Neurospora crassa OR74A: one gene and its partner. The protein of the gene in region 1 binds, or shares a complex with, the protein of each later gene. Links are inferred from orthologs where the notes say so. Each region holds a gene or a part of one and is shown on either strand. Other genes may lie near its edges.

Region 1 (4,269 bases):
CACCTCGAGCAGGTCAGAGCGATATTCGTTGGTCTCCGGGTCATCGTATTCGGGGCCGACCAGTCCCTTTTCACTGACGAGACCCTCAACGTCCTTGATGAGACGGTGTGTATCGGCTGAGAAACCGGAGATGCCAATAACATCAGGTTGCCGACGCCTGACTAGCTCAGCCAAGGCCTCGCGTTGACTCTCATCGCGAGCTAGGTTGGTAAAGGTACCGTGTTCGAGAATCCTTCCATCCTCATCCATCGAGACCCAGGATACAGGTTCACGGTTGGGATCGCCCATGCCATTCGATAGCGTGAGCACGCGGGGAGTCGTGCCAATAACCATACCTTTGGGCTTATAAGGGGCTTGATCCAGTCTCTTGAAGTAAAGCTCACGGCAGGTTTTAAGCAGCTCATCCTGGCACGCCGTCCGCAAGGAGTCTTTCACACCCTTGACAATAACCTTTACCAGCTTGTCAAAGGCCAAATCGATCACCTTTTGACGTTCCGCGTTCCACTTGTCGGCAAGCTCGCTAAAGTTCTCCGAGGCGAAATCACTAAAAAGTTGTTGCCTAAATTCGCGGTCGTTCTCCAGCGAAACTTTAATTTCGATGAGCCCTTCTTCCTCTGCCTTCATCATCTTGAGGAAGAGCTCCGGGCGAACGGCAAGATCGGCGATAGACATGTTTTTGAGATACTTGACCTCGTAGTAAGGATTTGCTTCGTCAATCTTGCGTAGACCCTTGTCAGTACGACGGCAGCTCACAATGCCCATGCCGTAGAAATTTTTCCTGAAGTGTTTGCGCATCCGAGGACTGGCAAACATTTCTTCAGCAAGCATCTGGCGAGCAGCATTGATGACCAACTCGCCGGTCGGGAAATCGGCGTCTACCAATGTGTCGGCCAGGTCATCTGGTAGCCTTGAATCGTCCTCTGAGGTCACCTTGCTGCTTTCGCGCAGAATGTTCTTGGCAAGACGATCAGGCGTTATTCCGAGTGCCTGGACAAACTTGTAGGCATTGGATCGCCGGATGCGTTCAAACTGGGCTGTCCTGCCACCGGCCCTCTTAATCTCACGCTGTGCGCTATTATCGTTGGCAGCAAGGTCCTTCAGCTCCGCCGAATACTGGAAGTTTAGGTAATCTTGGAGATCCTGGAGCTCCTCAATGGACTGCGCTTGGCGTATCATCTCTTCAAGGATATCGTCCCGGGTCTTTTCCTTGAGCTTGTCGTAAGTTTGTTCTAGCGCGTTACGCTTCTCCAGGAAAGACCGGAACCTGATGTCGAGATCCAGGACCTTCCACAGGTCATCTTGGGTAAGGAGCTTCTCGGCGTCAACAGTATATTCGGGAGCGTCAGGATCGTCACGGCGATTCGGGTTGCGCATCTTCTTGGCGTGGATGAGGTAGTCTCTTCGGTGCTGGAAAACGTAGGGAACTTCGACGCCGTCGATAACGAAGAATTCGAGGACCTTGCCCACGGCCTTGTTGAACGGACCGTGAAGCTCACTGGAAAGATTTTTGCTGGGTAGCATCAGGTTGCTGATCCACCGAGCCTCCTCCTTGAACTGATCGGACGTCATCTGGAGATTCTTGAAAGCCTTGCGATCGAGCTGGAAGCGCTCAGGCTCGTCGTTGAACCGAATCCTGTTATCCTCGTCGGTAAGAAGCTTCTCCTTGAGCTGCGAAGGTTCGAAGACATCCTGCAACTCGATATCTTCCTTTGTTCGCTCCGCGTGCTCCTGCTCTTCCTCCAGCTGCAACGCCCATTCGTAATCTTCACCATTACCGAAAATGGCATCCATGTCCTCGAGAGCATCCTTGTCGAGGCCGGTTGTGTCGATGTTGAGGCCCCTATCCTTGGGACGAGCAACCTCCTCATCTTCTTCGCGGTGTCGACGTTCTTCGTCATCCTCGGGGTAATCATCTTCGATGAAGTCGTCGAACTCGTCCGCTTGAGCCCGGCCGCTGGGACGGCCGTAGCCTCGATCATCGTGCTCTTCGTCCTCATCGGAAAAGATCTCGGCAAGACCGCGACGTTCAGTGGGGCGGTGGTCATCCCTATGACCCCGTTTCAGGCGCTTGAACTTGGTTTGCTTGGAAAAAGGTGAGCCGACTGGATGATATCACCGGAAACCGTAGAGCACATACCTGGGGTTGTGGCTTCCGCTCCCACTCAGGAATCGCTTCACCAATCAGGTCGAGATCTTCTTCGTCGAGCTGCTCCTCCTCTTCGCGCTCACGACGGCGCTTCTTTCTCCTACGGCGTTCGCGCGCATCCGAATCCTCGGCCTCGTCCTCTTCATCTTCGTCTACGATGAAACCTTCGCGAATCTGTGAGCGGTGGGTGTGTCAGCGTTGTTCCCAACCGGAGCTATGTTGCAGCATCGGGCCAGAGGCGGCATACCTTTCTAGCCTCTTCCTCATCTTCGTCGTCCTCCTCCTCTTCGCTGGAATCATCAATGTTGGGTCTTCTTCTCGGGCGGTCGCCGGCCTCCTCATCAAAGGACTCATCATCCTCCTCGTCATCGAGCTCGGCCTCGCCGTCAATCAAGTCGCGCATGCTGTTGCTCATGGTTACGGCTGGTTGGGGTGGCGCAAACTGGTGTGTAAATAGGTGTCTTTTCGGACAAGTCTCGACCGCCTAAGAGGGTCGGAATTGGAAATGAAGCGCGTTTCGATGGGAGCAACAGTCGCTCTTAGGGTGCTGATGAAAAAAAGAAAAGAAGAATACAGGAGGAAGTTGGGTGAAGAGCGAGCTCGTTTGGTGAAAAAGAAGTGATTAGCAATTGAAGGAGGTCTGAGTTGACCGCGACTGCCCTGAACCTTTCTGGCCGAAAGGCTGCCCGCTTGCTGCTGCTGCCGCCGTGTACGTGCTGCTCGCTCCTAGGTGGTTCGCCTGCCGCCAGGTCACGTCGGTCGGTGCACGCACGTCAATTGTGTAGTGTCGACCAGACCCGAATTTTTGGAGCAAGACGGCGGGCCAAGCAAGGCCCGGCCACCCGCCCCTGTACATACCCTCCAACTGAACTTGTTACGCCACGCGCCACATAACGCGTTCAGCCTCGCCAAGGCCCAGGCCATAGAACTGTTATGTACAGAGAAAGAACACATGGCTTGGCCCGTGCATTTCGTCAACATTGAACGGCGAGCAGCCCCATCACCAACTTCCAGTTGTCCCGAATTCTTTATGTTTTGTGATGGCATCTTTTACTGTGCTTGTCATTTTGCTCACGAGGATGTCACAACGCCCTTTGGGTTCGTGCGAAAACAGTTCACAGATTTCGTTAGGCCAGTCTCGGACCGTCACGACCATACATCTTGACAGCCAAACAATCTGGAGTTCATCTGTCAGGAGAACAACAAAAAACAAAAACAATATTGTAAAGTGCACATCGGAGCATATGGTGCCGTGTACAGACACCAACCGACACCAACCGACACTATCCATGCCCTCGAGGGGAGCTAGCAACGGAAGCTCTAACTATGATGTTGAGCACATTGGGCATGTTTATGCAAAGTTCAGTCGCCGACATGCTTGAACTCTGGGATCCGCATGGCTAAACTATATCTGAGAGACGTTCATGCCGCGCATCATGGAACTCACCACTTGAGTTGAACCGAGCATCTTTGGTTTCAGATGTTCTTCGGGGGGTCATGATCCCCAGCCATCCGCGCTTAGACCCACCATTTGGCACGCATATCTCGAACAAGTCCCTGGCATCATCCGGATCACAGCCGACTGTTGGTTCTGGTCATGCCCAATCACAGCGGTATTTTGCTTGATTCGACATCTCATGGCGCGCTTCTTGAGAGCTCTGGGGTTGTACGAACATGACGTGCACTGTGCTTGCTGTGCTGCGGTTAGACTTGAAGATGGTCCTGTCATTGGCATGTTGATACTTTTCTTTTGTTTTGCTGGTAACAGGGACACATGCGTGCCAGAGAGTTTCTTCATCTCTTGCCTGTAAGCGAGCTACACTACAAGAGCTTCACAGGGTCCACTGGAGATAGGCTGTGCGCAAGATGGCACCGTCTATTTATAAGTACGTATGGCTAAGTACCTGGGAATAGCTTCGTCCGGACCTCTCTCAGAGTCCGCACTGTATTTCCCCCCCACTACGGTGTGCCGTCCCCAGATCCAGGTCTGAACCGAATGTAACAAACACCATCCCATTTTCTGCAACTCAAATCACAGGTCCCTCTCGACTTCTTTGCCTCACATAATGGCGCCACCGTTGAAGTTACAGATATTAAAAAGAGAAATAGTGCGTTATAACAAA
Region 2 (4,379 bases), on another chromosome or scaffold:
TTCCAGGCCGTATGCCCTCCTCCCAGTCACTATCAGATTCGTCGGATGCATGGTCGAGGCGAGATCGTACGCTTCCCACGTCTCGGTCGCCGCGCTGGCGTTTCCGCTTCCTTACTTGTCGAGGACGCCCATTTTGAAGATATTGCCTGCTGAACATGGCCTTGCCTGCTTGCAGTGGTGTATAAGCCGTAGCTGGAATTCTGAAACTATCATCGAACATGGTCTCTGGCGTGTCGGGTGGCATTTCAGAGATGTCCGTCATGGCGGGACTCGCCTCTGAGGGCGACTCTAGCGTCTGCTCATCGGTTCGCTTCTGAGGTGTCGTAAAGGCGGGGTTTCGAAACTGGGGCGCCGTTGGCTTATTGTGTAGTTGGGGATTGAAGGATGTATTAGGAGGTTTCAGGGTATCGCGGTGCTCGTTGACAATGCTGCTTTGGGGAGCAGCTGAGGTGGCTCCGAACGTGGGGTTGCTAGTCTTTGATGGCTGTGAACTGAACGAAGCTGTTGGCGCGATGACGTCCTGTCAGCAAGAAGCTACTAGAGCATAGCATTGGAGACGAAGCCGAAATTATGCCACCGCAGAGTCAATTTCAAGAAGAGGCGTTGGCATTTGTATGTTGCGCCGCATGCTGTAGAGGAGTGCGACCTACATAGTGGTGGTTGCTTTGACAGTAAAGAAGCAAAGGGGCTTGTGTGATCCACGGGCGGGTTGTTATCAAATTCCCATTCCATTGGCGATTCGTTTCCTCGGCGATCCATGATGACGGGGCGGTCGACGTGCGCGTCGATGTTGGTGCGTTAGGAAGTTCACATTTGTCTTGGGAGTTGATGGGTGGATGGACAGTCTTATGGTTGAGAATAGAGGAGGGCGGGACGACGTCAAATGATCCTCCCTTCTTTTTTTTCTCTTTGGAGACAAAGCTTCCAAAGGTCAGGGATATGACCGCGGAAGTTACCCAGGACAAAAAGTTCGGTCGTCGGTGGCAACGGCGCGCCAAAGTAAACACATGGAATTCGGTCACGGCCCAAATAATTTGGCCCTGGTCGTGACTGTCTGTCTTCTACCTAGCGTATTTACCTAGGTAAGGTGGTAAGCGAGCTCCCTGGCTTCTGCTGCGTGCCTGGAGTGTCTTCAAGTAGTAGGGACACCCCACAGCGTGTAGAGCCACCCCACAGCGTGTAGAGCCACCCCATGCAAACTAGTATCACTGACGCAGCAACACCCGGCGCGGTAGATTTGCTCGTGGCTAAACAGCGCACAGACCAAGCGGCCAGCCCGTCACCTCGTTTGGGGATGGATTGGAGAATTGAACTGACTTGAACTATTGTCTTTTACGCAAAACAACCAAACCGCCACTCAAAACACCGAAGAAATTTCAACCATTGCGTCGTCTTCTTTTCCGCCGATAGATTCTTGCGTCTGAAGAAAGACCAGTCTTGAGCTATCCCAACGAACCATCTCGCGTGCATCAGCATATCAACACCCATTCAGCAACAGCCATGTCGGACGCCGCTTCTCCGGCGGGTTCCCCTGCTGCCGAACCCACTGAGCATCGCGATGAGGACCAGGTCAACGAGACACACCAGGACGACGGAAGCAATCACGGAGGAAATGACGAGGATAACGATGGAGGCAACGATAAGGATTCCGATGTTCTGTCCGAAATCGACGAAAATGAGTTCGGCGATGATTACGGCTCCCGGCCCGTTGACATTGACGAAAATGTGGCCATGAAGCTGAAGGCGCGGAGAAAGACGACTACAGAGACGACGAAGAAGCCAAAAGAAGGACGGAGGCCCAAGAAGCGGTCGCGTGGTGACGATGACGTTGACGCTGCGGATGACGACGGTGAGCGCCGACCACGCAAGGTCCGCGCCGAGGGCGAGCGGCGTGCTAGGAAGGAGGTAGAGGAGCAGCAAGCACAGCAGGAAGAGAACCTCACCCCAGACGAGCGCAGACGGCGCGCTTTGGAACGCGCTATTGACGCTGCTGTCAAGAACCCCACCAAGCGCAGGCGAAAGAAGGACGATATCGTAAGGAGTCTCCCAATGACACGTGCAGGCTTTGTCATACACGCATGTTGACCGACATTTGAACAGGACCTCGAAGAGGAGACGGATGAACAGATTGCAAACCTCAAGGTTGCCATGGAGAAGGCCTGCGTAGCCGACAACGAAGCCCGCGAACAAAAACAGCCGGCCGTGCACAAGCTCAAGCTCCTACCTCAAGTTACCGCGATTCTAAACCGGACCGCAATCCAGGACTCTGTACTCGATCCCGAAATCAACTTCCTCCAGTCTGTCAGATATTTTCTGGAACCTCTGAACGATGGAAGTCTACCTGCGTACAACATTCAGCGCGCCATCATGAGCGCGCTCATGAAGCTTCCCATCAACAAAGATGTGCTATTAAGCAGCGGCATTGGCAAGGTCGTCGTTTACTACAACAAGAGCAAGAGCCCCAGCGCGGACATCAAACGTGATGCGGAGCGGTTGCTGGGCGAATGGAGTCGCTTGATCCTGAAGAGGACTGACGACTACAAGAAACGTCACATTGAGATGCGTGAAATTGATGTCGGGTATGTGTCTTTTATCCATCTTCCTCTCAACAACCAACCATGCTAACCTTGCTTCCTTCACTAGTGCTGTGAAGCTAGGCCAACGCGAAGGCGGCAGCTCCCAAGTGACACTGACCCAGCGTCCCGCCGGCAAGTCCCGCTACGAAATCGAGCGCGAGCGCGCCCTCGCTCCCGAAGTACGCAACAACAACCGCGCCAGGCCCGTCGGTCTTCCCGCAAGCTACACCATTGCTCCCAAGAGCACGTATATCCCAGGCCAGGCGCCGACCGATCATCGCCCCATTGGTCACAGCGGTCACGAGGCTTTCCGGAGGATGACCCAGAAGGGCAAAGGCAAGCGTTAAGAAAGTCGATTCATATCCTCGTTCCGGGGTTATCGCTCGAATCTCGTAACAATACGATACATTCAGATCAAACGGTTGATCAGTACATATAGATATGGCTGAGCTCAATCGACGTGGGGGAACGAAGGGATGAAAAATGGATATAACAAACAGCGAGCAGAGTTGAAAACACCAAGGAGATGGGGGCACGACTGCCTCCTAGCTGGATTCCTTCCCGGGCAAGCAAATAAAGAAAAACATGATCAGTGCTATTGCTGCTGCTGCAGGAGTTGCTAAGGGACGATGATATGGTTGGGTGAAGGATTTTTCTACATTTCCACAAACGAACGACAGGGTCGGCTCGGTTCTCGCTCACACATCCATAGAATGAAATAGGGGCATCTCGCTGGGCAAGCTGCGGGGCGCAAATTAATCGTTGCACATTGATACACTTGAACACGTTTTTCTCCTTGCGGAAAAGTTGGACTGATCATATCCAGATGGCCGTTCCCACCTGGTTCTTATAATGGATTCAGTTTTTTATCGAGCAGGTCATAATGGGGTCAATGGATGGAATTACTAGCACCGACATACCTGCTACCGACGAAATGCCAAGAATAGACTAGTAGATAACTTACAGACTCACGTCTTTCGTATCTCAAGTCATGGTCCATCTCTATTGATCATTCCTAAAGGTATCCAGATGAAGAGAGAGAACCAAAGTGAAAGCTAGATACCGTGACCATCACTAACTTTTCTGCCCCTGTGGCATGTCAACTCGACCCAACCTTAAAAAAAAGGAAGAAAAAAAAAGGGAGAAAATAAATGTGACAAACGCAAAGGCAAAACCACAGACGAATAAGAACCGATCCAAGAATTATGAACAATTTGGCTTCATCATGTATCGCGGTATCCTATCACGAGCCTATCGATCCATCGCAGACGTGGGGAACATGTGAGAATGAAATGTCTAAAATATACTTGCTACTGTGAAACAAGGAAAAACATTGAAGGTATCTGATCTTTCGCTATAGACATGTAAAGCACACTCCCCCTTATAAACACGAGAAAGAACATGAAAAACAGCTCTCTGCTGAAGTTATGATAGGCAAAGCTAGATCGACTCGCTGTGAAGGCCAACTTCCGAGCTAGGAAGAAGGCTAAGGAAAGGTAAAATGTGGATATTTTCTTGTTCCACAGGGATAAGAAGGTATATCAAGGATCGAGATGATGTACTTCCACGGTATAGATGCAAGCATCTTATCCTGATGTAGAAATCCTTATTCTGGTGCCAGCCGAGGCTATGTAGCCGCCGACAAGAAGGGGACTTTCCGGATGTGAAACAAAGAAAAGGAATGTCTCTGATTCCGGTCTAGTACCCACCCACTTGTCTTTCGATTCATAGCTTGCCTGCCAGCGCAGCGGTAGAATGAGCGTTCCAACATCTTTCTGCATTATACCAACAGAAGCAGAAAAA

What was found.
Region 2: the proteins of NCU04611 (region 1) and NCU09203 are in contact, whole or in part, in a crystal structure (PDB 3OAK), measured with the Saccharomyces cerevisiae proteins. The link is inferred for Neurospora crassa OR74A from reciprocal best matches to the Saccharomyces cerevisiae genes SPT6 and SPN1. Residues at the interface, in NP_011631.1 of Saccharomyces cerevisiae: Lys241, Glu244, Met245, Asp247, Ile248, Phe249, Gly250, Gly252, Asp254, Tyr255, Trp257, Ala258, Leu259, Ile261, Glu262, Asn263; in NP_015458.1 of Saccharomyces cerevisiae: Arg222, Glu226, Pro227, Leu228, Pro229, Asp230, Gly231, Thr253, Leu256, Lys257, Gly262, Arg263, Val264, Ile266, Phe267, Lys270, Ser271, Lys272, Arg273, Ile286, Trp289, Thr290, Arg291, Pro292.

The regions. Positions count from the first base shown.
Region 1 is NC_026505.1:1,504,951-1,509,219, reverse strand, and holds the start of NCU04611 (transcription elongation factor spt-6), read right to left. Parts: upstream 2,953-4,269; 5' UTR 2,562-2,952; coding exon 2,394-2,561; intron 2,321-2,393; coding exon 2,138-2,320; intron 2,083-2,137; coding exon 1-2,082. UniProt on the Saccharomyces cerevisiae protein: Histone H3-H4 chaperone that plays a role in maintenance of chromatin structure during RNA polymerase II transcription elongation thereby repressing transcription initiation from cryptic promoters.
Region 2 is NC_026501.1:5,819,390-5,823,768, reverse strand, and holds NCU09203 (transcription factor iws-1), read left to right. Parts: upstream 1-1,327; 5' UTR 1,328-1,500; coding exon 1,501-2,034; intron 2,035-2,100; coding exon 2,101-2,579; intron 2,580-2,643; coding exon 2,644-2,923; 3' UTR 2,924-3,575; downstream 3,576-4,379. Other genes in the region: NCU09204 (hypothetical protein), read right to left, coding at 1-501, 651-759. UniProt on the Saccharomyces cerevisiae protein: Transcription factor involved in RNA polymerase II transcription regulation. May function in both SPT15/TBP post-recruitment and recruitment steps of transcription.